Schizosaccharomyces pombe: one gene and its partners. Changing the gene in region 1 together with any one later gene gives a genetic interaction. Each region holds a gene or a part of one and is shown on either strand. Other genes may lie near its edges.

The links.
Region 2: mutations in acp2 (region 1) and adf1 are lethal when combined (synthetic lethality), as found in Schizosaccharomyces pombe (2 studies listed by BioGRID, with this or other methods).
Region 3: mutations in acp2 (region 1) and mid1 impair growth when combined (synthetic growth defect), as found in Schizosaccharomyces pombe (2 studies listed by BioGRID, with this or other methods).
Region 4: mutations in acp2 (region 1) and crn1 impair growth when combined (synthetic growth defect), as found in Schizosaccharomyces pombe (2 studies listed by BioGRID, with this or other methods).

What each region holds. Positions count from the first base shown.
Region 1 is NC_003424.3:2,103,530-2,107,789, forward strand, and holds acp2 (F-actin-capping protein beta subunit acp2), read right to left. Parts: upstream 1,905-4,260; 5' UTR 1,721-1,904; coding exon 1,715-1,720; exon of another isoform or gene 1,518-1,714; coding exon 1,121-1,517; intron 1,072-1,120; coding exon 668-1,071; 3' UTR 501-667; downstream 1-500. Other genes in the region: protein Atg14, read left to right, coding at 1-425. UniProt on the Schizosaccharomyces pombe protein: F-actin-capping proteins bind in a Ca(2+)-independent manner to the fast growing ends of actin filaments (barbed end) thereby blocking the exchange of subunits at these ends.
Region 2 is NC_003424.3:4,820,192-4,827,856, forward strand, and holds adf1 (cofilin), read right to left. Parts: upstream 5,936-7,665; 5' UTR 5,887-5,935; coding exon 5,884-5,886; intron 5,833-5,883; coding exon 5,727-5,832; intron 5,564-5,726; coding exon 5,259-5,563; 3' UTR 5,066-5,258; downstream 1-5,065. Other genes in the region: eIF2 alpha kinase Hri1, read right to left, coding at 1-182; checkpoint clamp complex protein Hus1, read right to left, coding at 1,300-1,403, 1,461-2,055, 2,110-2,122, 2,188-2,296, 2,345-2,387; fmp40 (adenylyltransferase), read right to left, coding at 2,752-4,458; C-24(28) sterol reductase Erg4, read right to left, coding at 6,492-7,665. UniProt on the Schizosaccharomyces pombe protein: Controls reversibly actin polymerization and depolymerization in a pH-sensitive manner. It has the ability to bind G- and F-actin in a 1:1 ratio of cofilin to actin. Binding to F-actin is regulated by tropomyosin.
Region 3 is NC_003421.2:1,143,045-1,152,920, forward strand, and holds mid1 (anillin-related medial ring protein Mid1), read right to left. Parts: upstream 7,392-9,876; 5' UTR 7,172-7,391; coding exon 4,409-7,171; 3' UTR 4,272-4,408; downstream 1-4,271. Other genes in the region: ppc1 (phosphopantothenate-cysteine ligase), read right to left, coding at 47-997; cytochrome c oxidase biogenesis protein cmc2, read left to right, coding at 1,424-1,602, 1,665-1,755; ubiquinol cytochrome-c reductase assembly protein Cbp3, read right to left, coding at 2,012-2,863; TIP41 type 2a phosphatase regulator Tip41, read right to left, coding at 3,339-4,097; protein Cwf20, read right to left, coding at 7,798-8,670; SPOM_SPCC4B3.13 (MatE family transporter), read right to left, coding at 9,199-9,876. UniProt on the Schizosaccharomyces pombe protein: Scaffold protein that anchors the contractile ring (CR) at the cell equator during cytokinesis.
Region 4 is NC_003424.3:1,027,676-1,036,497, reverse strand, and holds crn1 (coronin Crn1), read right to left. Parts: upstream 4,394-8,822; 5' UTR 4,317-4,393; coding exon 4,283-4,316; exon of another isoform or gene 4,241-4,282; coding exon 4,188-4,240; exon of another isoform or gene 4,140-4,187; coding exon 3,912-4,139; exon of another isoform or gene 3,871-3,911; coding exon 3,782-3,870; exon of another isoform or gene 3,733-3,781; coding exon 2,331-3,732; downstream 1-2,330. Other genes in the region: SPOM_SPAC23C4.04C (uncharacterized protein), read right to left, coding at 1-101, 155-465; haspin-like kinase Hrk1, read right to left, coding at 736-2,202; histone acetyltransferase Hat1, read right to left, coding at 4,805-5,080, 5,137-5,500, 5,572-5,687, 5,777-5,995, 6,057-6,160, 6,211-6,268; ssd2 (succinate-semialdehyde dehydrogenase), read right to left, coding at 6,701-8,182.

The DNA of each region.
Region 1 (4,260 bases):
TAAATCCTGATTGTGCTTTAACTTTATCCTTTATTTGTATATTTTTAGCTCAGTATACCAGTATTCCCTTACCATGCCCGCTTCAACTCCCTTCGCCTGATCAAAAACCCATGACTTCATTTTCATCGGAACAAATGTTGTATATAATGTATAACATAGTTTGGATTTCATGGAACTGTGGCATTTTTTCGTTTCCCCGTGGAATTACCCAATCCCAGCTTTTTGAGTTAATGCAGTATACTGGTTTCTGGTTAGTTCAGCTACGTACCAAGCCGCTAACTTCTCAAAAGCCAGATTGGCATTACAAGATGGGTATGGATTTTGACCTTTTTCACCGATTATACCTGGCGCGTCTTCCAATTCCAATAAATTACTCCTCTCTTCGATCACGTTCCTCGTCTAAACCATATCAGCTTATTTCATGACCTTTTTTACATGATCTTCGATTAACAGCTTTCTTATAAAGTCTCTTAACGTATATTTTTTAATGCTATTTATATAAACTTTTTTACTGAACAATTAAATTCAATAATTTCTTTTAAAACTGTTGTAAAAAAATTAGATTATCGGTGTATTTATTTATATTAGTCAATCTTTCTATGACTATTTTCGTTGAAGATGGAACGAATACTATGAGAAGATCACGGAAAGAAAACAAAAAGCAATCCTAAATGGAAAGATCGTTTAAAACTGAACGCAAAGCCGAATCATTTGGTTGGGCATCGGAAACGGGTTGAATGGAACGAGTCTGGTTGATGATATCTTTAGTTTTTCCAAAGTAGACATCCTGGAGGAAGTTGCGCATCCGAGTTTCCATTTCCTCAACCAATTTGCCAACATTAGCGATCTCAGTGTCATCATCTGCCGCTGGTAATCGTTGAGAAGTTTGGCGAGTCAAATGACCTGAAAGGTTAAGAGCTTTGGAAGGCAAGGCAGACTGTTCCTCCGAGCCAGATGAAAGGAAAAGGATAATAGTACTTGTAAGTCGGTAATCATAAACGTTGGTTTCCGTGGTAGGCAGACATTCAAACACGTGAATAGAATCCCATCCGCTTGAGTTAGAAGTAGAAGCTAAATGAAGTTAGAATTATATAATGAAATTGACAGAAAATAAAAATACCCTTTTTTATGAGAACGGCGCCTGCGTAACTATCGTCTTGGTCCCAAAGATAAACGCTACTAACACCGCCCTCGTAATAAAGATCAAGATAGACACGGATTGCTTCATTCAAAGAAACTTCTAATTTACGAACTCGATCAGTAGAAACTAAACCATCCTCCAAAGGAGGATCATATTTATTGCTCCATGGTGAGCGGTACGAATCTCCATCCCTGTTAAAGTCACATAACAAATATTGATTACCTGACTCAGAACAAGTATTTACTTTTAGAGGCTGATCAACAGACGAGAGAAGGACATCAGCTAAATCGGGAGCGACGGAAAGAATTGTGTCTAGGTTTTTAGAGATATCTTTTGGGTTTAATCGTCGGAGTAAATCTAATGCAGCGTCTTCAGACTAAAAGAATAAGTTAGCTGATATTGTAAAGAAGGATAACGACAAAGAATGTGAAAAGCAAATTCATAAAGTCTCTGAGCAATACTGACGAAAATCGATGAAATATGCATTCAATGATAAGATGAATTTACAGATGGCTATATAATAAAAATATAACAAAAAAATTGGGCAAGGTAATTAATTTCAGTAATACTTACATTCATGGTGAGTTGATGATATAATGCTTTAAACAAAAGAATACAACCGGATAGCGATCTCAGAATAAAAGTGAGGCCTTAATGATTATAGGAAGTAACTTTAGATTCGTCGCATAAATTACGAAGATTCTTCACGGTGCAGTACACAAATAGTAGAGGTGACTGACTGGTGGTGAGGTACTTGTACTCTGGTGCTTTCTGCGTAAGTTTAGAAAGTGAACAACATATGGCGGTGAACATTGAACGATGAACCCTCTGGTGATGACAACGTAGCAAAAACCAACCTCAAACTTACTTTATAATCAAACTGGTAATATCAATGAGCTGTTAAAAATAATCAAAAGAAGAGCACATTTTGTTCAAGCGGAAAAAGTCAAGAATTTATTAGATGCTACTGTTGGTCACTTCAATAAGCTGTCTATTTTTCAATATTGAACATTTTCAAGTTAAATTTAGTATTGGCAACGAATACAAAACTTTTCTGTATATCGGTTAAATTCCTTAATACAGAAACAAGGAGAATTATATGCCAAAGTCAATGCTTGAATCGCTTTCTATCTAAAGTTTGGATTTTCTACGAGTCAAACCATGTAAAGTCATAAAAAAGTCAATAACAAACGTCCTTCTTTCATTTTAAGCAATGGTCTTTCATTTTATTTAAACTATGGATCTTTTAAAATCTATTCTTATGTTTATAACCTTAACAAATGCATTGTTTAACTGCTTTTTGATCTTTATCTACATCTCACCTTCTGTTTTAGCATCCACTCAACCTTTAATAACGTTTTACTGTCGTTATGCAGTATGACAACTTACGAATTTAGTGTTCGTATATCTTCAAACTGCGTTCCTTAGAAATAAAGAACATTTAATTTGTTTTGTTAAACGGTTTTCAAATGGAATAGCGCGACTCAACGTTCTAAAAATTTGCGGAACATTAACTGTGATCAAAAATTTTGGGAGAGCCTAGATTTTGCCACTGTCACGTAATTATGTACAAGCGTTCAACTCCCATCTCTCACCGATTTCTGATTCGCAAAAATCACATGGGTTTTTTCATGGTGTGGTCCTTTTAACCAATCAGATTGTAGGACGGTTTCTCAAATGACCGAGAAATGATTCCATTCCGTTCCATAAGATTCTTTGTCCCGTTCGGAGTTCTTGAAATCCCGAGTTCGAATCTTGCATTCTAACTTTTTTCGTATGTTTGGCCATACTAAGACTACTAGCGCACGGCTGAAACCAATTGTGTAAACAAACATTTCTAACCTTGCTTAAACTGGATTGAACCTTTTTGTCAGTACATTGGAGGATTACATTGGATAATTGCACTTTTCCGTATTTCTATCTGTTTATTGTCTTGACAAAGGCTGTAATTACTGTTGTTGTAGCAGTGAGTGTGTGATTACAAACACTTAAAACAGAAAATGTGCTTTGTGGGTTTGAAACTTTTATCGAAATTTTGTAAGAAGTTAACCTGCAATTATTGTTGATCATTTATCTTTTAATTGTATTATTATTAAGTTGTTTACTTGCAGAACACATAGTTTGGCCGAATTTTTTGGTTTTGTTTGTTTACAATAACACCCCGCGATTTGCGTTGCGCCTGATAGCTTTAGCCAGTGGTGACGTAGGAGAAAGATAATTGGTCAGTCGCCCTCCATTGAAATTATCATCTAATCGTTCATCCGCCGCAATGTTGATTCACATCAAAACCCTAACCCTGAGGACAACGGTGACTTATACCAACATGTTTCCTCCTTCCCTCTGCAAACCACATTTTTCCTCGGTTCGACTCTTGAAATTGCTAGTCGCGCGGAAGAGTTCGATATCGTTATTAATCGTTAATTTGTTATAGGGCACTACTTTTTTGTCCCTTTGAAGCCAAGTCGCTATAAATCTTAAGTCATTTGTGCTATCTGTTATTGTTTGGCGCTATACAACGAAGTAAATATTGCATATTGCTTGTTTTAGTGTAATAGGCAGTTTATGCGCGCGTGTGTTGTGAAGGTTAGCCGGCATTAATTTTGTTCATTCTTGTTTTTGTGTACTATTAGCAATTTGATATTCAGTGTTGCTGTGTTGATTGCTGTAGCTTATACGTCAACGTGGCAATTTTGTTTTGTAAGTAGTTTTGTTTGTGTTTATGACAGGTGAAGTGGGTGAGGCAGTGAGGGCAGTCCAACTCTTAATTTGGATTTTTTGCTGGTGATTTAGGATTTTGATATGGTTTGTCGAAGTTTGTTAGAATTGTCGCTTTTTTATCCTAAAGGTTAAAAAATTGGAATTGGTAGTCTCTTCATTGAAAGGAACTGACTTTAAAATTTTTTTTTTGTTTTGCCAAAGATACGTTTCTTTTCTGTGTTGCGACGCGTCTACCACCATTATATTGTAGACTGTGGAAAGGTGGTGCTATTGTTCCTCTTTTGTTAATATCTCGTGTTCCGTTTGACAATGTTACCTACGCCTTTTTTTATCGTAGTTCCTTTTATTTATATAACTAATGATGGCTTATGTCAGTAGTTATTTTTCACCGTCGTTAATTT
Region 2 (7,665 bases), 2.7 Mb from region 1:
GAATGCTTACAAAAGCTTTCTAACAACGCAACGAGAAGCAACTTGCAGGAACTTTGAGTATCCGCGGTTTTTTTTTCGAAATTCTGTTTGTAACCGAGACCAATTGTCGGCATAATCCGACTGATATTTTCCTTGGCATAGTTGCAATCCCTTTTCGAACATTTAGTAGAAGTGCCGAGCATTCTTGTGTGAATGAATCAAATCAAAGCAAATAAGAAAAGAGAAAGAAGAATTGAATAAGATGAGTAATTTAAAACATGAAAATTATTCCTTTTTTTTTTCTCTAAATGAAACGAAATGTACAATCCTAATTATCAGTCTATATTGAATATATAACAATAATAGTAACAATGCTATCTATGAAAACAAGAAAGAATTTGCAATTAAGGAACGGTAAAACTATTATAGAAAGAAGGTACGTTTAAGTCAATTTATATGTCTGTATATGTGTTGTTTATGTAGCGGATTTCCCCGGATACCTCTCCATATTTAAGTTATTGTGGGATTTTCACTATCGTTACCTCTATTGCGATACCAACTTTTCTAGGTAACAACGTTCAGCCCCTTTCGTACTGAATGTTGGTACAGTTTACATGTGTAGCCGACTGCATCGGAGGAGGAATAACTATCGAACATAGTCAATTCCGATGACAGACAGCCTGAAATTTTCGCACTTTTAAAGAGGAACTCGCCATTTTCATCACTTCTACGTAAAATGTATAGCGATGCCTCCAAAGTACAAGAAAGAATAGGCGGAAATTAATAGAAGCTACAGTCAATGGCATATATCTTCTCAAAAAAACGATTAAAATATTCAATTTTTATTAAGTATATATTTCCCATTGAGCACTTAAATGTTCAATTGAGACTTTATAGATTTCTGAACAGTTGCTTGTCTAAAAGATTAAAGAAAGATGAACCAAGGTTTATTCATATTCAAGTTAATTGCTTGAAAACATACGTTTGTGTTTAATCGTATGTATCTCTCATTGAAAACGTGAAAACATATGGATTTTATCAACAGATTTTCTGTGACTTGAACATTATATTTCTTTTTGGTGTTATCCTTTTAAGAGATATCAACGGAATAGTAAAACACTGAGTTGCCGAGATTACAACAACTGTATAAAATAAATAAAAAAGAACGGTAAGATCGATAAAGGAAGAGAGAGAAAATAAGTATAAGCATGGTAGATGTTGATTAATCTCTTTTCATTTTAATGTACATTAAAAATGTGGCTAGTCACTCATAACAATTATTCGTTAATTAAATCAAATCATAAACAAATTGAAGTAACCTTAGTCCACATAGGTACTAATGTAGTATGTTAAAACAGCCGTATGTTCATCTTCTGGATCTGTTATATAAACATAAAGTACTAGCGCATGTCCTTCACAGAAACCTGTAATGTAAAAAGGTTAGTTCGTGGTCATAAAAAGGATTCTCTCATAGTACATACACGCTATTACACGCTTTGCAACACTGGATATTTTTAACATGTTGACTAAGTCCTTGCTGTCTAGTCTCATGTGAACAAATTCTTCGGGTGCCCTTGTTTGAGAGGGATGTCGACTGATGTCTTCGACTTGACTAGGATCTAACTCTGGATTCTCTAATCCTTTCCATTTTGTGCTTACTCTAGCTGAAGGTATGTTTACCGATAACTGCAATTCGCCTGACATGTTGGCTGACATTATAATACGGTCTGAAAGACTCTTGTATTTGTCCACGACGTGTCTTAGAAAATTCAGTTGTGGAAGGAATATATGACAGTCTGGTTCAGGAGCAGTTGGTTCCTTAATAACTGACACGTATGATTGTGATAGTACTCGAACAGGTATATTATGAGTCACAATATTCGAACCAAACGCCCTTCCACTCCAAGTGGTAGACAACGAAAGTAATGGCTGGTTATTCTTCTTGGATAGACGAACAGTAGAATCACTAGCGTTGGCCGCTGATCGTAAGGCTTTATAGAAATTATCTATAGGAACTTCTAGATTTATCACGTTGTCTGCATTGCTTTGGACGACATAGTCCTCAAATATTGTTTCCTTTCCGTTTACGTTAGTTAGGGCAATCAAATAGAAAAAGATAGTTAATCATACGACTTCTAAAACTCTGTTTCTTTATTAGTTTCACAATGTGATTTTTTTCACCGTTAAATGCTTAATATCTTCACTTACGACCAAACTTGAGTCATCCTAAAATCTGGCACTATCACAAAATTTACAGTTTCAGGCATCAGACGAAGCCAGCAAAATCTTCCAATTTTATCTAGCGCCTGAACAAGACCTAAATTTGATTAGTAAACGAACTTTCTGCTGATCTTTTCCAACTTACGCGTCAACGTGTACAAGTTGCTAATCCTTGTTTTAAATCTCATTTTCAGTCTTTGATTTAACTAATGAGATTGAGATTTTTTGGCATTTTGTTTATTCAAGCGTTTAGCAGGTTAAAGTCGACCAATAATAAATTTTCGGTCGAAAAAACTACGAACGCGTAAAAGCCAGCTAAGAAATAGCAAACTGGGCATTAGCAACTGCATCGCAATCTTTATTAAGCAAATGCAAATTTTAATGGCAAGTGGAATAAAATTAATGAATAAAATTTAAAAAGATTTACAAAAGTCTTAGAGTCTAAAAAAAATTATACTCAAGAGCCTATTCGTTGTATCATTTATTTCATACGATTAGCTATTCCTAAATTTTAAATTACATTAAAAAAATAAATGGCAAGTAAGAAGGGTTCTAGCTAGAGCAGGAACATTGAATTTGGCTTTTGGAGGGAGTAGTGTTATAGCATAAATAATCCTCTTCTTCCTTGGAAAACCCCCAAGTATCTTCGAACGGACAGGCAGCCATTTTACACACTTTTTTAAAAAGCTCAAATTTCCCGATGTATGCTTCTTTAATCACCTCTTCAAGAACCCAATTTCTAAGAGTAAAATGTGGGTTGACTTTTTTCATGCTCGCTAATCGGGATGAATCTTCCTGAGTTTTCGTTGCTTCACTATATCGACCAACCCAATTAGTGAAAGCTTTGACAGATTCATTTCTAACTCTTTCATTATTCGGGTTTAGACAAATACATGCTTGCATCAATTTTGCAGCATATTCTTCATTCTCCATTGAAGAGGGAGAGTTTCTAGAAAGAAAGGAAAAACAATTTGGCATATCCAATTCATAATCCTCCAAAATTTGTAACAAATCAGTTATCAGAATTTTGTTAGATGAGTCAGAGGGAAGACCCACTCGTTTGAACATAAGATCATAGAAATCATTCTGGACAATATTTTTATACTCTTCTACTATCTTTTCAAAAACTTCAGAAGTATAAGCAAACGCCTTTTTTAACAAATCAGTAGAGTTATGAAGTTGTTCCATATATTGCAAGTCATCAACTTTGTCGCAAGCTCCAATTAACTCAACCAAAGCAGATGCTAATTTTGATAAATTCCAAATAATAATATCAGGTTGGTTGCGATATGAATATCGCAAAAATACATCGTCATGATTAGGTGTAAAAGATGGGTTGTAAACATCTAAAAATCCAAAAGGTCCATAATCAATTGATAGTCCCAGTATACTGGTATTATCAGTATTCAAAACACCATTCATAAATCCATATGCTTGCCATTTGGCTACAGTTTTAGCATTTCGATATGCAACATCTCGAAGAAGTTTTTCGTAGCGATTTCCAGTATCTCCACCATGAAATCCATCTTTTAAAACGAAATTTAGACAATAGTCGGCTAATTTCCGTAAAGACTCAATTTGATTATTAATCCCCTGGAGATCGAAAGTCCCAATTCTGATCCAAGAAGGGGCCATACGGCAAACAACGGCGCAAGGCTCTACAGTCTCACGTTGTGCTACAACACCTTCAAGATTGGAAATTGCCAGAGCCTGTGTTGTTGGAATGCCTAGAGCATATAAAGCTTCACAACATAAATATTCTCGAATGCTAGATCTTAAAACAGCCTTTCCATCTGCAAATCGAGAGTATGGTGTTCTTCCTGCGCCTTTGACTTGAATCTCAAAGCGTTTTCCAGTTTCCGGGTTGGTAAGTTCGCATAAGGATACTACGCGGCCATCACCCAACTGACCTGCCCAATCCCCAAATTGGTATCCTCCATAACATTGCGCCCAAGGACAACACTTATTGACATCAACGTTAGAACCGACAACAAGCTGTTGAAAAGCTTCAGTTTGAGTTTCAGATTCTTCGAGTCCTAATGACTTCACGGACGAAGGGCTATAAGCTAATAATTGAGAATTGGCTTTTAGTGATGGAGTCAAATAAGTAAATAAGCCGCCGCCTTCCACAAATCGAGGAACATGTAAGATTCTGTCATCAGCCTTTTTCATTGCCTGTACGGTCGGTACCAGTGGATCAGGCGGAAGATTTGATGTGAACGTTGAGCTGACAGGGAGATCCTTCAATTTTTTTGACATCGTATTGGTATATCGAATTAATGTTCTTTGCATACCAATGTTTGATTGTGCCCCAGTGTAAATTTGCTTACTTTATTGATTATAATAACAATAAAAGCAGCAATTCACTTACATTTGATCAATAACAGATCAAGTAGACTAGTACGTTGAAAATAGCTGGTAAAATACATGCTATGTGATCAATGAGCAAACTAATGAAAACATCATTTTAAAATGATAGCGAATGAACAGCAATTGTTATATTAATATGGAATGGCATTACTTTGTAGATCGTTGGATTTCGTAATTTGTTAATTAGCATTTTTAGGAATGCAGAATCATTATATATAGAGGAATATTTGTAACAATTTCAATGACTAAATAGTGGTAGATGAAATCTACAGAATTAAAAAGTCGGAACTGAGAAAATAAAACTAAGCTTACTTACTATACCATACTTGAAGTAGATGAATAAAAACCTGCAAGCACCCAGGCACTCAAACATTTCAGCTAGTGGTGGAAACTGCGTAGAACTAATTTCTCTATGATTGCTTGTCAATTACATTGGCAAATAACTTGCAGTGTTTTTCATATACCGACTCATCCGTTATCACATGACAAATTTTTTAAAGTAGATATACTATTGACAAATTAAATATCAACAGGAAACCAACGTACACTTAAATCTTTGTATTTATAGTTCTAAATATATAGAAAAAGATATTTAAGGAGCGTTGAAGGATCGGTTTGCATACCGAAACGAAGTTATTTAATTTCATTTCGTATTACGCATGAGTCAAGAAATCGTAACCAAAAGTGTTTTACTTACGAGTAACCTTCTCAAGAACTGTCTCATAAGCAACTTCGGAGAAATCAGTTGCTTGGATGTCAGTACCGATTCCAGTAAAAGCGCGACGTAAAGTATCTTTAGAAGAAGAGTAAACCATCTTAGATTTAATGGGAGCAACATCAGGAGACCAGCTAATAAAGATAATCTTGTTACGAACACCTTCTCCGAGATTGAACTCAAAATCATAGATAGCATAACGGCAATCCTTTTCAGGCAAGTCACCAAGGAAAGTATCGAAGTCCTTATCCGTACTCTTCTTTTCAACAACAATTTCAGCTAAACAAAAAAAAATTAGTGAAAGGTTCCACATAATTATAAAAACGACATAGAAAGACATTACAAACATAAAATATATATCAATGTAGATAAATAAATTTATTTTTAAAAAAAGGGATATTGGACTTTCTCAAATTCCATCTAAATCGTTTTCGTCACTTACTCTTGGTATCGTTCATTTTGAAAACTACGTAACGGAGTGACTTTCCAAGCTTGAGCTCTTGGAAAGCTTCCAAGCATTCGGGAGAGACTTTGACACCTGAAAAAGACTAATGTATGTTAAATAAACACGATGTAAAGTTAACAAAAATATTTCATACCATATTATTTATTTACTGATAGCGGGTAAGCTAGTGTGGTTGGCACTGGTTTGGTTAGGGGAGGGCTACTCGCATCAGTAGATACCGTCGCCCCAAGTAAGGGTGGCGCACTACTCTAAACAAGCAGAGTCTATAATTTCTTATTATTATGTTGCATGACCCTTATTAAATATAAGCGAAAAAACATACAGTTCTACAAAAAAATAATAGCAAATGGTTATGCGTATGCACTACCGCCTAAATATTCCACACTAATTTATATATCTAGCAAGTGAGTGAACTAATGCAAAAAAAAATTTAACTGTAAATGGATCGCTATGAAGAAACAAGATGATTGTTACTATTTATTAGCTATTCCTTACGCTATTTCCAAAAATCTTTATGCAAAAAGACTTGGAAGTTAATAATTTTTAAGTCTAGAAATAGATTGTATAAAAAACGGTCAGAGCTGCTTACTTTGTTCGTTCATAACTTAAGGAATGTTCCAGCTACTCAATCAAATTTGAGAACTTTCACAAAAATTAACTGAATTTTAAAGTAGAAAAACACTTCAAGTGGAATTTTGAATAGCCAATTTATTAAGTAAAGAAGGGACTAAAAAGACATTTCTAAAATATATAGGGAATAAATAAGTAAGGGCATATACGGCAATACTCATCGAAATCAGCCCCATACTTAGCTTTGCACTTTTTAATATCACGTGAAACACGATGCACAAGGACTACAAAGAAAAAGCATGGGTAAAAGTAAGGTAGAGGGGACTGAAAACCGGTGATCAATGCCCATGACAATGATTGAAAGAAATCAGCAGTATAATGAATTTTACGAGCGTACCTATACCAACCTGAAGTCAACAAAGTACCGCCATTTGCACAACGAATAAAGGTAGGGTTCTTGATGATAAGCCAGGGAAGTTGGGGAAATGTTTTGCGATGAACCTCAGTACCATAAATTTGATTACGGAAATGATTTTTTTGACCATTGCAAGTATCAAATATATAATAACAGCAAAGAAGCAAAACATAAATACCGGTTGTATATTGAGTTGACCAGTTGTAAACAGATGGATCATGCGAAAAAAGGTAAAGGGTGCAGTGTGAATAAGTAAATGGGACCCCAGCCATGTTCCAAAAGATAAGCATAAAACCAAACTTTTCATAAGCCATGTCCCAAGTTGGAACAATCAACTGCTCTCCCTTCGAGCACGCGTTTGCATACAAATAATGGCCAAGACAAACGAAAAGTACCTGAGGACTTACAGTGCCATAAGTTTCATATTGACGAACAGCAGCACCAACGGAAATAAAGAATAGGATAAACCAAGGGATACGAACTTCAAAGAACATTTTAAAATCAAGCAATTTGCCAAGGCGAGGATTCAAGCAAGCTCCCATAAAGGCATCGTAGATGGGATTTCCAGATAACCGATGAGGTTTATCAAAAAGTCGATCACCAAAAAGCAAAGTTCCAGTGTACAAAACAAAGGTACAGACAAAAGCGGTTATTATTGCAACGCTCATCAAAGGACCGAACATGTCGATAAATGTAGTAATTGGAAATACGTGGGTCACGTGAAGAACGGCAAGAATAACAATTGTCGTGTAAAAAGACCAGATAGCATTGCATAAGTAAGGAAGACGTTCGTTATTGCGATGCTTTAAAGGCAAACCTTGCGTCCGAACACCAGGAAGAGTTAAGTACATGACAGCCTGAACTATACAAAACGACCAAAAAACCAAGAATGCATACCGTGTTGGATAGGCACCGACGTAGATATAATGG
Region 3 (9,876 bases), on another chromosome or scaffold:
GTACTTTTTATAAGTTCATAATCGACTAATCGTCAATAAACATAATTTAAGGTGCCTTTGCGAACTCTTGAATTCGTTCCTTGTGCAACGAAATTGCCCTCGAAACAATGTATTGCTCGATTTCTACCTTTTTTACAATGTCATCGTCGCTCAAATGAAGCCATTCAACCGTTTTTGAGGTTACAAACGCGACAGATCGTTTCCTTGTTGAAAGAAGGTTGGCGATCACCAGCTGGTGGTTATAACGTTGTAAAGCTACTCTTGCTTTATCAATCAGAATACTAGGGTCGGTTTCTAATTTAAAGGAAATAATAGAAGCTTCAGGAGCCCATGTGTCAACCAAGAAACGCAGAAATTTTGGAACCGGATGCATTTTGACTTCTAATTTGTTACTTCCAGAACCACTTTGAATTTTGTGCTCGCTCAATTCCTTCGGTGGAATATGGAAATCACTAACAGCAGCTGCTAAATAAAACAATGCTCTTGAAGCGATTATCTGTAAACGTTCAGCTATAGCTTTCAGGTACCACAAATATTCTGTGAGTGTAGTATAAGGAATCATTATCAGTCGATGATGTTTCGTATATGTATCTAATTCGTTGAGTGCATTGAATACTGTCGATTGAAACTCTTGTTTGACAATCCAAGGCTTCTCCTGACTGCCATTACTTCTTTCAAACAAATTTGTCCAGGGACCTTCATATCGTCGAGTAAATGGCATTAAACTATAATTTCTATACAGAAAAATGACCGAATATCCAGACTTGCAAAAGTATTCAGCAGATGCTGCACCACGATTTCCTGCACTAAAGTTATCGATAAAACGCACCGTATTTTGCTCAAGAGGCACAAGTGTGCCGCCACTAGTAACAAATGCAATGTTTTGGGAGTTTGATTGAAGGTTTATAAAATCTTCAATCAGACTTGAGACATCACCGAGTGAGTTAGGACAAGGATTCTCCTCAAAGAAATCGTTAGATTTATCCATTTCTGGCATATATTCTAAATAGCTAAGAGTATCGCAACCCAGAAATGCCTCTCTTACGATGAGCTCAAAAATAAACAAACGACGTTTAAAAAACTGTATGCGTTATTGCTGAATGATAGGACTAGAGAACTCACAAAATCTGAAATGCTAACCAAACAGTTCTCTAGCAGCTTGTAAATTCAGCAAGTAGTGGTCTGTTTATTGAACAATGTAGACGATAGCGACACCACAAACGACTGAAACGCGACACTTTGTGATTGTATTACACTTAAGGCCTTTTTTTTTTATTCAACTCGTGCTTGTCTTTTATGAAAAGCTAAAATTAAAATAAATTTTAAGTTTGTGTTTTAATCAACTTAAGACTAAAAATTTTCATTTATTTGCGCTCTGTTGGGTAACGTGGTTTAGTTACCAACATTTTACTGATTATCTAAAATGAATAAATCTCCAATTGAAGAGGAATTTGATCTTCGGAAACAGCACCAAAAGCTATTAAAAAAAAATTGCCAGAAAGAAATTGAAGATTTTGTGAAATGCGCTACTGGCAGGACTTTTAGCGTAACCTGGAAATGTAGAAGTGAAAATAAAACGATGAAGGATTGTTTAACCAAAGCGTAAGAAACTTATTCATCAATCATGTATAAAAAAGGATATGTAACTAATATGGAATATGCAGCGCAGACGAAATATCGGAGTGGCAGATCAGGTCGGAATACAATAAAGCTAAACAAGAAAGCTTTATCGGAAAGCAAGACGAAAAGAAGTAGCTAATTAATGCATCGATAATATCGGTATTAACTGCTATTAAAATACTAGTTCCAATACAACATAATGCTACGATTTCAATTAAATTGACAAACATTCTCTACTATAAAATATTTCAAAAGCTCCTCATTACTTTTCAATTTAACGTAATGGTAAAAGCTTTCAAAGTAATTATTTACAAAAAAGATTCATGGTTTTGCATAATAAACATGACCGTTCGTCAATTTATTAATCATTAGAGTAGCAATCATTTATTAATCAAATATTTGTTTGTGCACTTTCTTCAGGTGGGACGAAGTGTACTCCCTTCCCATTGATAAAGTCATCGGTTGATAAACATGACAGGCGATAAACATTGAGGCGAATAAATTTAACAATAGTCTCAAGAATTACTAAGTCGACGTCTGGGCGACCAACGAAAAGGTTACGCCAAACGGATGTAGCCAAAACAGCATCACTTCCCAGCATTCCTTGATCATAACCAAAAATGGCGCCGGTCTGTTGCTGAAACAGATCTTTCAGATACATACCAGAAATTCGATTGCTATTAATGCGGTAATCTTTATGAATTCTGAGTTCCATGTCTTCAAAGAAACGAGTAGTTAATGCCTGTGAAAAGGCAACTTTTTCATTTTTTGGCAAACCACGAATGCGAGTATGGAGGATCCACAAATGTAATTGCGTTATTTGAAACCAAGACTGAAATGTCATAGGAATTTCACACTTCTGGTACCAAAATTCAAAAGCACCTAGCGAGTTTTTTTCGGGGGTAGCTTGTCGAGCAGCCTCAAAATACATGTATCTTGCAGTACCAGTAGCCTCATAATATAAATTTTGTTTAGGAGAGATATATTTTTGATAAATAAGACTTATTTTCTTTAGAAAACTATTTGGCGGAGCCACTTTACGTGGATCTTGAGGAGGTGTAAGGGGTTTGTATCTGAGTTCTTCTACTGGGTCTCTTCTCTTCGTTTCCGAAGGTGAATGATTAATAACATTTATTGGAGAAAATGAAAATCTTCTTCTTAAGGGACCGTATATACTCTTCCCCCATACCGGCTGCTTAACAAATGCTGGTCTCAATGGCAAATTTAAACAGCAGCGACTCATTACTGAATGACGATAAGGATCTTTTGATAATCTTTTCTTAATTAATAAAATTAATTATTACCTGCAAATAAATACGTAGGAGTTGGGTTGAAATAAAAAACGGATCGATTAATGTCGTACAATATAAAGGGGAAGAGAGGTTGTGACAGGTTGATTGCCAAATACAATGTTATAACGAACGATCAATATTACGAGGCCATCATTCTTCCTAATTAAGTATACTCTAAAATTTACTGGACCATTTTAAATTTGTTTGCAGTTTCAGTAGTATATCTTCGCCGTTTAATCGTACCAAAGATTGTATCTATTTATTTTGCTTTCTCAATTAGAAAACCTAAATTAATAACCTCTTAGTTGAAAATGATTATAAATATTACCATGAACTAAACGTAATAAACTTGTAAATTGCTTCAACACTCATTCGTTGACAAAAGTTCTAAATTCTCATGTCTGCCATTAGCGAATCATTTTAGCATCAAAAATTCAATTTATAGATTTTATGGTCAACGGTATCAAGGCGCTCACTTAACCAATTGTTATCATCTAGCAATGCAGCTTTGTCTCCCCCCACAGGTATTTGTTTAATAATTTTGTCGTAAGTAGCTTGCTTTTTACGGCAGTCCTTCAAGAGAAAATCATTCAACAAATCAATATATATCCTCGTCTCATTCAATCGAACATTTACCTTGTCTAAACGTACGACAAGGCGTGCTAACAATATTAAATGACCCTGAACAACTCGAGCTCTCACATCAAACATTGATTTTCCATTATCTGCTAACTCATCTTCGAAAAGAATTATCTCATTGAACCATAAATTTTGTCCTGCGTTAAGTATTTTTTGAACAGGTATTACCTGATCAATTTCAATGAATTTTGCATTTGGACGTTGTATAGTTCCCTGATAATCAGTATAATAAGTCCAATCAAATGGGTAAATCACAGGGTATTCTTCTCCGGGCTTAATTCTGGATTTGGCCCAGTCTTTTGCAAAAGAAACTTGCATTACATCTTCAGGTTTGGTACCAACCATTTTAAGAGCATCTTCAGTAAAAAATCCAACTACAGGCTGATTCTTGTATTCAATTGAGATGTAATTATTCCCAAAGGTCATCTCAGGAGGTGGAAAACCCAATGTACTTTGAAGGTTCTCCATCTCATGGCTTTTTAAAATTGACCCCCGTTGGACTTTGATAGTCCAATATTTAAATGAAAAATCATCTTGTTTTTGCATCTCCTTTAAATAATGTGATTTGAGTAGTTGCTTGACCCCTATATTATTGTAACAATTTAGAGTGCGTACGGCAAAATATAGGTAATGTAAATTTAGCCAACACAAAACACCTTTATATTACTTTACTCATTATAGAGTATATTCAAAAAACCAAAAGTTGATTAATTATTCAGATTAAAAATGAAAAATGATCTATAAGTATTAATTCAGTAGTTATATAATTTCAGTTCAACTCCCTCATTTAGTAAATCCGATAAGTAAAAATTATTCAAAAAATACATTAAGACGATTAGTATTCATAAATTCAGATATTAAGCCATAAAATTCACGTATTCTTGTAACCATAATTTCTCAGTACCCCTATCTAGAGCAAACGAGCGTGAATTCATCACCTGAAGCCATTTTTGGCAAACCTTTTTAGAGTCCGCAAACAACTGAACATGCCTTCTATCAACAGATGTAGCCAATATTCCAGCTACTAGACCGAGGTTTGAAACTGCCTCTGAAAAATTTACCATTGGGATTGAAACTACTGTCTTAGAAAGCTGAAAAGTATCCAAATATTGCCCACCTTTTTCAGCATAAAAATTCAGCTGCTTTGAGCGTAAAACGACAAAACGTCTTCGAATAGATGAATCTTCCAATCTATACAAGTATCCCTCATTATATAGATAGTTACTTCTAACGTGTCGCAAGTCCATCGTAGCTTGTTCTAAGGTAAATGGCAATTCCTGCTCTGGAACCGAAAGCTCAGGAATATACAAACAAGTCAAAGTTAGATTACCAAGTGTACGTTTCCCTATAGAGTTTATTTTTACAGGAATCGCTTCCAAGAAGCCTCTGGAAATGATGGGTATTTCTACGTTGAAAGCCTTTCCAAAACAACTGTCTTTGACATTACCCAAATTTAACGTAGCAGTACCCGAGACTTTCTTGATAACCACTGACTTCTTAGCCTTTGAATTCTCAACTGCAGCAGCCTTGTTGAGTTTTCTCTTTTTGCGTCGGTTGAAAAGCTTGTCAAAAAATTTCCTAGCTTTGGATTTCGTTTCAGCAGGCTTACCGTTTGAAACGTCTTTTGTAGCAGATACTCCTTTCGAACCGTTGGACTTGTCCTCAATAGGGATGTCAAGAAACATAAAACTCACTTTAAAGTTATCGTCAACATGAAAAGCAAAATCATGGTCCAACCTATTATTCCCATTAACAGCTTGCCAAGGAAGCTGCATATTTTGCGTAGGCGTATTAACTATTATCTTGATAGGTGAATGGACTTCACTTATCGAAATATTCAAAATGCTGTTCAAATGTATATAAAAGCGACCAAGTGGCAAGGGCGCCTTTGGTTTCTCTTCAAAAAATGTTTCATTCACAAATCCAAGAGAAGTAACAGGACGTGGTGATTGATTTTCAGTACCATTCGGGACTTCGTAAGACGTACTCTTATCCTGACTTGGAAGATCAAGGCGATTCAAATCAAAGGAATGTGCACGACTTAAAAGTTCGCTATCTCTGGCTACAGGCGTAGACTGCCTAAGTTCATCAATGCTGGCGGATATCTCGGCACTAGGGTCGTAAAAACCTACTGTACCAGTTTCCGAATAATTCCATCCTTCGACGTTATGGGACTCAGAACTGACTAAACTTTGGCTAGACTTGTTTGGCTCATTTTCACAATAATTACTATAAGTACGCTTCGTTCCTGGTACGGGTTGCATTGATGGGTGACGTAAATCTTCAGAGCTTAAAATAGCACTCAAATTGTCAATGGTAGAACTGCTTTTTATACGACCACGTTGACTAGATATACTATATCCCACGGAAGCAGAAGTTAGATTGTATCTGGGGACTTCATGATACGTTACAGATCCATGACCATAGGCGGCCTGAGATTTCGGAATTGAAGTGGCACTAATATCCTCATCCATATTTTCCTGTTGTAAAGAATCATTGATAATAGTAGAAATCTCAGGTTCTGAATTACGGGAAGATTGAAGGTATAACTCATCATAGTCTTTACCGTTGGTGGGAAGGGAAAGCTCAGAGAAATCATAAACTTTCCTAAGTGTACTAGCATAGGAAGATCCACTGGAAATCCGTTTTGCTTCCATCTTGGCCAAAACCTTTTTACGAAGACTTTCTGTAGAGATATCTGAGTCGTCTAAGGTGGCCTCTGGGACTGAAGAAAAAGGCTCTGAAGTATCTTCAACAGGGGCTTCCTGAATGGGAGCTAAAGGTTCTAAAGGTTTATAATCCATATCGAGAGACGCCGTCGTTTCGACCCTTTCCAACGCTGGATTGTCCTCTGTGGTATCTTTGGGAAGACTAGGAAGAATCCTTGGACCTACAGTAGAAGATGCAGATAGATGTGCTGGAGGTACGGGCTTGACATCAGATGGTATGCGAGCCAAGTTGGGAACGCTTCCAGCTCTTGCTCGGGCTGGGTTTGTAGACAGTTCATTATGGGATTGATATGGATGTTGAACAGTGTATTCCAACGGAGACATTGTCTTAGCTCGACTAAATTCTGCTACTTCTACCGCCCTCTTGCGAGACGATTTGGAGCGGTCAAAGGATAATTCAGCTAAATTTTGATCCGGATTAAATGTTTCATAATCTGCAACAATATCAGCACCTTTCAAAGACGCAGTAGAAGAACTTGTCGAGTTCATAGTTCCTGCCGAGTACGTCAAACTAGGAATGCGACCTTCTTCCTCGGAATTAATCCTCTTAAACACTGATGTACTACTCATTCTTTTACGATTATCAGGACTATGTTGAGAAGAAAAAGATGAATCGAGGTGCCCATAGCCATGCATATACATGCTTCTTAAATCAAGTGACTCTAAAAGATCTGTCGCAACGTTTAGTTCCGAAAGGTTTCCAAGGGACATATCGCCATCTCCATGTGTAAAGTTTTTTGTTTGATCATATCCCGAGGTTTCATTACTGTTACCCTCAAAAAAAAGGGGTGTTTTTTCTCGATTTGGAGAAGAAAGAAAACTGTTTTCTAAGCCTTTAGAGTCAAGAGACACATCTTTTGCTTCTCTATATGAGAACTCTTGCTCTTTCATCGTCAGGATAGCTTAATTAGACTTTACAGACTATAATACCTTATCGAGTGTTAAAATGTGGACACAGTATCATATAAGCACCCTGAAGTACAACAAAAGACGAGCCTTCTTCTTTATAGCAAATATTAATTCAAATTCTATTAAAATTGATGCTAAAAGCACGAAAACCTCTTATAATTTATTGAAATCCTTCTTCACCTCAGTCATGTGGAGTAGGCATAGGTCACACAAAATCGGTAGACGCTATGATAAGTGGTAGTCCCAGTGAGAACACTGATTATATGGTTAAACAATTCAAACTCTGGATATACCATAAATCGAAGATTAAAGCCAAGTTTCCTTTTTAAAATTAACAAAAAAAGGCTAGTTGCATTGCAAATATGAATTATAGCTGGGACATACTTGCAAAGATAATATTGTATTATCAGTATGCTTATGAATAGCGATGAATAAAGTCATTAGTATGTAAAATAAAATAAGTAAAATCATATTTTGTTGTCTGCTATTTTCGCAGAAACTAAAAAAAAATACATAAAATGAATCTGTTGATAAACAGCTTTTAATTTACAAATACACGAGCAGTTAAAACCTAAAACTAACTATCGGGGCGTAACATTTACTTAAAGCTAAAACCCATACTTTTGAGAAGATGCCTTTTTGTTTGATCGTTGCTGCTCAAAATAAGCTTCAAAGTTGTCTTTTTGACTGATAGCCATTTCAACAAGAGAAGACAGTTGATGACGACCAGGTGCAACACTTTTAATAGTAGGGGCGCTTGGCAATGCTTCTTGGGTCGGTTTTGGAAGTTTGTTGATATCAACGTCTATAATTCGTCCCTTCTCTTTTCGGTGGCGTCCAATTTCAATGTAATCTTCATTGATAATGTTTATGTCCTCTGCATTTGAATGTACTGAGTGATTAGCAATAGAAATGAAATCGTTCTCGGGTTGATTCCTCAATTTCGGAGGATTTGCTCTAGCTTTAGGTTTTATCAAAATTGGTTGGTAAGGTTTCTGATCGGAATCTACTAAAGAGGCTTGCTTTGACTCTGATCCTACGATATTAAATAACGAAACGTTACCAGACTTTTCTGAATACGTTGATTTCTTGACAGTTTCGGAGGATCCAGTAGAGGTTAAATCGCTTACAGAGTTATTAGGTAATAAATAGTTTTCATTTAAATCAAGGTCCGATCTTTTAGATGACTTTGGAGCTAATTCAGCTTGATTTTTTGGGGCAGGCAAAAGTTCAAGTAAATCATTAGATTTAAATCGTTCATTAGAGATAACATCAGATTCATTAAAAGTTTTATCATTAAAAGAAGATTTCTGTAAATCAACTTGCCGTTTCAGGCGTTTAGGTGACTTTTTAGTGCTGTCAACCGACAATTTTCTGCGCGCATGCTGAAACAAAGTAGGATCGAAACTTTTAGAAGCTAATGGTGTTTCTTCTTCAATATCGCTTTCGGATTCTGATCGAGGATATGAAACCAGAGACATATTTTATTAACTTTTGATATTAAGTCGTTTAATAATTCTGAGCGAGCGATTTGTACTCGGTAACTATTCTCACTGCGAACAGAATTATTTATGGCAATTAATATACTCGCATCTGCAAGATGATTTACATATTTATTCAAACTTAAATTAATTCTTTAAGTAAGTCTTAAAAAGAAATAATATTTAATTGAATGCTACCGCCCAACGTTGCTAGCTAGCATATGTGGTATTTTATATATTAATCACCCAAAAAGATTCCAAATTACCATTAATTTAATTTACTTTTATAAGCTTCATAAATATGAGAGTTTAAAGCACTGCAATTTTCGTAAACTTAATTTTTAGGATAGGCCAAAACATGGCCAAATCTTGAAGACTGGAAAAAGTACCGACTCGAATACTTTTATCAATCAACTGTTAGTAGTCGTAACCATGGTATCATAAACCGAACATATCTCTTCAAATATATCAATTTATGACAAACCACAATACATATTTAAATAATCATTAACTTGTCCGTATCAACTTTTAAGCCTCATCAAACTGACGATTAGCAAGTTCAACTAAATGGTCCCAATTGACATGCAATGAGCACCAAGTTTCTACTCCAGCAATAATTAGAATTGCAGCTCCAATTCCAATCCATAAACCGTACAGCCCCCAATCTAGCTTGAAGCAAAGGATTATGGCAACAGGCAAACCCAATAAATAATATGCGATGAAATTTACTACCCCACCAATCCTTTGTCTTCCTTGTCCCCGAAGAAGGCCTCCAGCTACACATTGTGTATTATCGGCAATATTAATGAGTGCAACAAGGGGAATGATAGTTGCAACCAATGCGACGACATCTTTATCAGACGTAAAAATGTAAGTCCATGTGTTGCGAGTTAAAAAAAGGATTACAGCAATGATAACACCAATTGCAGCACCTAAATTGATAGAAACGTGCGTAGCTAGCTTAGCGAGTTTCGTATTTCCAGCACCAATTAAATTTCCTACTCTTGTGGCAGCTGCAGCAGCGACACCGAAAGCCAAATTATAAGAAAGGGTCGAGGTAGTAGACAAAACAGACATAGAGGCTAATTCAGTGGTACCCAACACGCCCGATGCGAAAGTAACGAGTTCAAAAGCCCAGTACTCACTGCAAATCATAATTACACCAGGAACAGCCAATCGACATAACGGGCCCCAATTTTTTAATGC
Region 4 (8,822 bases), 1.1 Mb from region 1:
CGTCTTCTGTTGTTACATTGGGGTCGATAAGTTCGCCGTTCTTTACCTCTTCATCACGTTTTGTAGCTTCAATTTCCGAACGCAATTGCTTATATTCTGGGCTATCATTCCCCACTATAGTTAGCCATTTTTATAAATGTTTGATTCAATTTACCTATTTTTATCCCAAAGTGGTTTTGTAGAATAAAACTGAAAGATTAGTATTTTTATTATTTTGAGGGATTGAATTCTCAGCGCTATATTCAAGCTTGGTTTTTTAATTTTTGAATTATACTTACAGCAGATGCAACACCTAATGTGCAAGCAAACAATAAACCCATGGGACCGCCACGACTCCTTCCGCTCATCATGGTGCACTGTAGTCGGAGAGTCCGAATCATAAACTGGGAAATAGAAAGCCATATTGGAAATTATATAATAGCGACTACAATCATCATAGGATTTACTGAGGAAATAACAAAACATGTACACTCATTTGTGATTTAAACAGTTAATAATTCTTATTTACTTATAAGTTTTGCTAGTCAAAGATATGTAATTTTTTATGTACAACAAAAACCCCACATAAAATGGTCAACTTTAAGAAAAAAAATAACCAAAAAAGTTCACTTCGACGTCCAAAATTTAAAATATAAGTACATATGTATAAGATTTTAGCAACGCATACCATGAAAAAGAAAGGAATATTAAAAAAATGCGAACGCCGTTCAATTTTTTAGTATGCAAAAACCATAATTAGTATTTTTGACGGACCCAATTGAGGAGAGAAGTTGCAGATGTAACTGTAGATTTAGAGCGAATCGAGTCTTCGGCCTGCTGGAACTGCATTGTTTTAACAGGGTCAATAAGCCTAAATATTTGCTTAAGACGACTTCTCATAAGCGTCTCAGTCTCTGTTAACGGCGATGACAAGTTCTTTTTGTGTAAAAGTTGATGAATTAAATAATGCAGCCATAAAACGTTTGTAATGGGAAAAAACTGCGCCCATCTTCCTTTTGTCACTCTAGACATTAACCTATATATATCAAATTGGTAGTCATCTACACCGTTAAACAGATCGGGGTCGTTAAATTCATTGTAACTAATTATACCCTGAGAATACGATGCTCGGGCTAATGTAAAATCAATCAGCGTAACTTGAAGTATGTTGTCAAAATCATCAGCCTTATCTTGTGAGCCGGGAAAATCGACACTTTCAATGTCGTCAAGCGATATTTCATTTAAAAGAAACGAAACTTCCTCTTCACTCCGATCAGCTTTCCGAATAAGAATGTTTCCCCAATGTAAATCTCTATGCTCAAACTCATAACGAGTTTCAACTAAAGAAAGAATTTTTAATGTTTCATAAAAAACCGACCAGCACTCTCGCCAACTACGGAGCTCAAAATGTTCCAGATCTGTTCCTGAATGATCAAGACATAAAACACAATAAAGTTGCGTTGATGAATAGCTATCTGGTCGATCGTTCTCAGAACCATTTTGCATAAGATACCGATCCCATTCTTCTAATAAAAGTGAAGGATAAGTACCTTTAACGACAACTACTTGATGAAGGTTTGCAAAACCGTCGACTTTTATCCATTGGCTAATCTGTACTTCATTTAGGACATCAGCATATTGAGCTTGTCCGTCTTCTCCAAACGGGATAACTTTCCAAACAACGGGAACGTCATCAGCATTGCTGGCTTGGTATACTTCACTATAACTTGCTTCGCCAATTTTTTGGATCTCAAAAGTCTGAGACTTAACAAATTGACTGAATGGAAGAGCGTCTTCTTGCGCTACTATTTGGAGGAGCCGATGAAGTGGATCTAATTTGGAATTATTTGCGGGTTTTCCGGATAAAGCAACAGAAGATGACAAATTTACAACCTCTTTTTTACTGACTACCGACTTTGATGCATTATCCCGAGGAGAAGCCGGTATTATGACAGTAGGTACCAGGTTTTGATTTCGTTTCGCCAATAACTCATTTTCTTTGTATGAACCTTTTTTTAAGAGAATGTTCCAAGATAATAATGAATCTTTTTTCGGTTTAGAGTGAATATGCTCAAGGTCACTTCTTTCTTGGTTATTAAAATTTTCAATGTTCCGAGGTTTCAAAGCACAAGGCCGTTCATCTAAAGAAGCCCAAATTTCAATATCTTTATTAATATATCTACGGTTCTTTCCATAAGTTTTAACTTTTGAACGACTTTCCATATCTTTTCCTACATTTGTAAATATTGAGGTAGTAAGGTACGGAGGTGAGATGGAGAAGGCATGATGTCCGGGCTTAGTGATATGTTTAAAAAAGCATTCTGGACAAAATAAAAAATGCACAAAAAAACTTAATTACATTTTTCTTTAATTGCTTCTGTTAATTTAGCCAGCTTATCCTCCAATTGGGCAATTTTCCAGTCTCGGATTGCGAGTTCTTCCTCATATCGTTTCTCAAAACCTTCGAAACGTTTATTGAGATCGGCCAGATTGACTGCTGAAATATCTTTCTTATCTTTTGAAACATAAAAGGGTTCTTTCTCTTCAACTTTCTTACTTTCGGCAAGAGGAGCAGCTTTGGGTGCTTCGTCAGAAACTTCCAATTTCTTTTCCTCTGATGGTTCTTTCTTTACATCTTCTGAAAAGGTAACAGGGCTACTAGCTGGTTTCGGAAAAGATTTTTCAACAGGTGTTTTCTCACGCTTGGGCTGGGTTACAGTTTCTTCTTTCTGATGATTATCCTCATCACGTTTCTTCGATGGTTCTTCTACTTTTGATGCCGAAGGAGTAGTTGGTTTCACCTCCGGCTCTTTGGAAGGCTTTTGTTCTTCCGCCGATTCTTTCGGCTTGCTAACTGGCTGAGCTTCGGGCTTTGGTGTCTCAACCTTCTCTTCGTTATGTTTTTGTACCTGAGCACCAGCTGAGGGTACTGTAGCGGAAACAGCCTTTTCAACAGTACCTTTAGACTCATACAAAGTAGACATATCTAAAAGATCAGGCTGAGCATCTTTCCCACTGGCCCATTCTTCAGCTGTTAAGCTTGGTTTACCAGATGGGGCTGGAGGGTAAATATCGCTTTGGAAACTTTCAGATCGGCGAGGAACGATGAAACTTATAGGTTCAATGATAGAATCGTTCACGGACTTATAAGCACGCATAACTTCGTTTTCAGAAACATTAACTCCGCGTTTTGGCAAAAAGGCAATGCCTCGTTGGGGATCAACGGACTTGAATTCAGATAAATAATGGAAAACATCGTTTTCATATTCGTAATAGCGAATATTACCATCACCTTTACCTGCTAGATATATTACCTTTGTTCCATCATCCCAGAATGGCATAAGGATTCCCGAACCGGTGTCTAATGTGGTAAAACCACCTATCGGTTCAGACAGATTGGTAGGGTCCCATAAAGCGATTTGACGATCACTCATTTTACTGAAACCAGTTGTAGCAAAACGATCAAGGCTCCCGAGCCAAACGACACGGGGATTTTTAGCACCTGCATGACCATTTCCAACGGAGACTGGTTTATCAGTACGAGGGTCCCAGACGCGAACTTTCTTATCTCGAGAAGTTGTTACAAGTCTGGTACCATCAGCGTTGAACGACATAGACTGGCACATTACATCCATTTTCAGAGATACATGGGCTACACCCTTCTCACAATCCCACAACTTGATAGTATTGTCTGCACTAGAAGATGCCAAAACATTCGCTGCAGTGGGATGATATTGAACAAGACCAACTTTACTATACAAAAAAGTCAGTAACTAAAACCCTAATGCAATGTACGACATACCGGCTATGGCCCTTTAATTCAGCAATTGGATGAACATCTTCATAAGGCTCCATAACAGTATAATCTTCTGGTACTTTCCATATCATAATCTAATTCGTTAATACATAAATAAAGTCAAATAGCAGGATACCTTAGAATCATCACCGCCGGATGCTAATACTTGATCATGGAAGGGATTCCAATCAGTATCTAAAACAGCCGCAGTATGGCCCCGAAACAAATTAACTTGATCGGGAAGCTTTCCTCTTTCGTTTAAAGGGATAACTGCCAATGCACCTCCAGCTCCCGCATTCCAATTAACACTGAGGTAAAAGGGGTTCACACTCAATAGGTTAGAATCCCATGCATTATTGCTAAGCTATTGAAGACAATTAGTAAATTTCAAACCATTAAAGTATCGACCAACCTTTATGTTGTCGTAGCAAAGTTCTTTTTTGCAGGTTTGTCCAAAGATATGTCCTAACGTCAGTTAATAATTATTTACTCAAAAAGCATGCGTACTATATTTACTAGCTCTCACAAATCTTCCACTCATTTTTGAAAAAGAATAATTCCTTTATAAGATCGAATGAGAATTTGCTAATTGAGCTAACTTTATCCGGGGTGTCAGGTAATGAACAAAGTCGGGATCGGAATAGGAAGGAGGACGGATGAGAATGACAAGCACCTAAAGTTGTACTGGTCGTTGAAAATAACCAATATTATTGATAGTAGATATTAAAATATTTAAATTTTGGAAAAAGCAGTTCATTATGAGGAATTGTTTGAATTTTTATAAGGTGCCTTTATAGATTTTATTAAACTAGATATCACACTAAATTTGCAAAATATATACAAAATTTATATTATTAAAATGATCACTGTTTCAAATGTCTTTAATCATTTCAAGCGAAAGCTTTCAAAAGCAAATTATATAAAAAGTAATTGCGTCCAATAGTGTAATTTAGTCGATTCTCATAACTTTTTATGCTAATATGCCTTCAATATTCTCAAAGTATTTCAGATCTCTAAAAGTGTTTTCATTTAGGAAGAAGATTGAGCAAGTTTTTGGCGTTTTCGAGGCGAATCTTCCTTAAGCTTGGGTAGCTTTTTGACAATCTGTTTATACTCATCAAACTGATTTTCATAGGCGTTATGAATTTTTTCAATACGTTCGGACTTATCCAACTGTAGCAACACATCAAGATTTTGACGAAAAATCCTTTCCTTTATTCCTAGTCTAACAGATTTCCGCTCCAATAATGAAAGCTTTTTTAGTTTCGTTGTAAATGCTAATTCACAACAGCGTGAGAATTGACGCTAAAAAAAGACAATTAGTAAGTTGCATTGCATGGTAAATTTAGCAAATTACGAACCTGGGTTAACTTTGTTTCAGCTATTTTCGAGTTTATCCACTGCCTAGAAAGAGAGGGATGAAAGTCAGGTTCTGAAAATATTCCCATTGATAATAATCTTTTATAGTCGCAATGGTCTCTAAGGCTATCAAACGCTTCCGATGCATCCTCAACTGTGAAGTCTAAAATTTTAGGATTTTTCAAAAAGGTACTAACAATAGCATTGTACAATTGCGAACCGTGTCCTTGATGTTGAAAAGGGGGTAAAATCACGAATTGTGAGATACGAGCTCGAATACCATCGTGAATTAATTTGTCCCATTTATAATATTTGTATACAGTACAATAACCACGTAAGCAATAATCATCTTCAGTAGTCTCGTAACTTATTTTTGTTAATAAAACCTCGATAAAAAGGTAAAAGGAAAGTAGACGCGTAGAAAATAACAAACTTACAGTAAATATACCATCCATCTTGGATCATTAAGGTCAATAAAAGAGCCCCCTTCAATAAAAAATAAGGAAAATATTTGCAAATGCTGCATAATCTCACTAGCTTCAAGAACCGTTGCCTATTAATACATTACGATTATTAGCCAAAGAACATATAGGGATATTCAATAATTGAATACTTCTCCAATTGAAAGGTAATCGAACATACTTGTAAAATCTTGAATGTTTTTCCATTAAAGGAATAGTTATGAATACTATTTGCCGAATGAACGTCAAATGAGTTTCCTTCAACCTTAATGGAACGATCTTTTAGATAAGTGTTTAATGTTCCTTCAATATCAGTTGGTTCCACTCCTGAATCTGGTGCTAGGCGCTCTGAATATGAGATTTCCAGTTTTGGGACCATCAATGGGCATTCATAGGTTATCTAATAACTGTTACTATTTGCAATCAAATTTCATGACTAAAACTTGCTGATTTAATCTTACAGTGACATTTAGATCTTTATATCCATAAATAACCTCAGCATCTCCAAATATTGCATATGTATTGCTAGGATGGTATTGACAATCTTTTTCATGCTTTTCGTTTACTGACAGGTGTTAACACAAGGTAAAAACATTATAATTTAACATAGCATACCTTGTACAATTTCTATGCATTCATTGGCATTATGTACCCATTCATCAACAGCACTCATCACTGCATACGGAAAATTGAATACCTGACCCTATTTCAAGTCAAACAACAAAAAATACATGTGTCTAGTTGGAAGTAACAAACTACAAGGCGACGCAAAATTTCACGTGCTACACCTGTTATTATTAAAAAATATTTACTATTATATAGATTTCTAGCTCCAGTATTGCCAATTTTAGAACCTACAATTCTTTATAACTTTTCAGATTGCTCAGAACAATAACTACAAGTATAGATTTTCTGACACAACAATCCATTCTTCATCGATGACCCACGATGTTCAGGTATTAAATTTTTTTGATATCATTAAACTAAAATACGATTTGTATCGCAAACATGTAAAACAGTCATAACATCAGGATTTTTTAGTCATTAACCAAAAGAGGACATCATTGCTTGTTCAATAATATGCAGCTTTCTAAAGCGAAAATCCTTAAAGAGTCTTGAGATTGATTTCCTTAACCACCATAAATTCTTGAACGCCCAAACGACCGGCTTCCTTGCCAAAACCGCTCTGTTTGATGCCGCCAAAGGAAATAAATGGTTCGTCAACCATTTCGATATTGGCACCTACAAGACCCACCTCTAGTTCTTTGGCAACGTGGATCATTGTGGACAAGTTATTGGTAAAGACGTAACCGGCCAAGCCAACATCACTGTCGTTAGCCCATTCGATCACCTCTTCGGTGTCGTCGAACTTGAAGACAGAGGCGAGTGGGCCGAATGTTTCCTCGCTAGCAACCAACATGTCTTGAGTTACACCGGAGAGCACGGTTGGTTCAAAAAAATAACCTTTGCTTGAGGAAATCTCCTTTCCACCAACAGTGATTTTGGCACCCTTTGAAACAGCATCTTCAATGTGCTTGCTGACCTTTTTGCATCCATCTTGAGAAATCAAAGGGCCAACAGCAGAAGAAGAGTCAAATCCATCTCCTACTTTAATGGTCTTGACTTTTTCGGTAAGCTTGCTGACGAATTCGTCGTAAACATTCTTGTGAACGTAAACTCTGTTAGGGCAGACACAAACTTGACCACAAGAGTTAAACTTGATAGTGCAGAAAGATTCGACAGCCTGATCAATGGGGAAGTCAGGGAATACAATGAAAGGGGCATTACCTCCTAACTCCATTGAAACCTTCTTGATTGTGCTGGCACTTTGTCCCATAAGAATTTTACCGACATTAGTACTACCAGTGAAGGAAACCTTACGAACGATAGGGTTGGTAGTCAGTTCTTTACCATGAGCAGATGCATCAGAAGAAGTGATCACATTTAAGACACCGTCAGGGAAACCGGCCTCTTGCGCCAACCTGACTAAACCTAAGCAAACGTAGGGAGTGCGGAAAGCAGGCAAGAAAATAGCGGTACAACCAGCAGCCAAAGCGGCACCACCTTTACGAGCAATCATGGCGGCGGGGAAGTTCCAAGGAGTAATCAAGGCACTGACACCAACTGGCTGTTTGATGGAGATGAGAAAGTTTTGACTTTGTAAGCTGGAAGGAGCTACATCGCCAAAGGTACGAACGGCTTCAGCAGCATACCATTTAAGATATCCGCTACATGTGGTGACCTCCATCTCAGCTTGGCTCAAAGGCTTGCCGTTTTCTAAGGTAAGCATCTTGACCAAGTCGTCTTTGTTCTCCATAATAAGCTCTGCCCAGCGTTCCAATAACTGACTACGTTGGACATGAGTAAAATTTTTATAAGTTTTGAAGGCCTCGTTAGCGGCACTGATGGCTTTTTTTGTTTCCTCTACTGAGACATCGGCCACTTTACCGATTATTTCACCAGTAGCTGGGTTATCAACCTCAAAAGTTTTGTTGTTAGGAGAAGAAATCCATTTTCCTTGAACAAAAGATTGAGCATGAGACTTATCAAAGCCAAAGAGCTCAGGGCGTTTGAATTGAGGGGCCATTTTTGAAGAGTATTATACAAAAAAGTGGGAAGGAGTAAATGTTAAAAACTATATGAAACGAAGTTATCGATAGAAATGTTATTATTATTTATAATAATAACAAATAATAGCGTAAGCAGCAACAGATCTTTCGTGGAAAAAAGAAGAATGCAGGTTTTTTTAGTGTTTTCAAATTAAGCTGCAGATTTCTTTTTTTTAATGTAGTGTAAACATCGAGAGAAACGATGCATATTTATAATTTTTCAACAAGACATTTAATGATCAAACCATAACGTATGCATCTTGGTTTTCCGTACTAGATTTACGTCTCAACATCATGTTCTTGGTGTATGCAAACATTTCCCCTGGAAAAAAAGAAAGGCGTATTGAATTTGCGTAAATATCGGCAGACTAACTTATAAATCATAGTGTCTGGTTTGTTAGCTTACGGCTCCCGTCTTCTTCAATGATGTATATAGCGAACTTGGTGGAATTGCATTTTTTACATCATATAATTGAGTGCCACCATATGTGAATATGTACCGACTTTACTATACTGAATGGCAGTAATATAAGCTACAGCTACTGTGAATGAGTATGAAAAGAACAGTGGGTAAAATCGCTTCGCTTTTCATATTAAAAAATGTATTTTGTATTAATG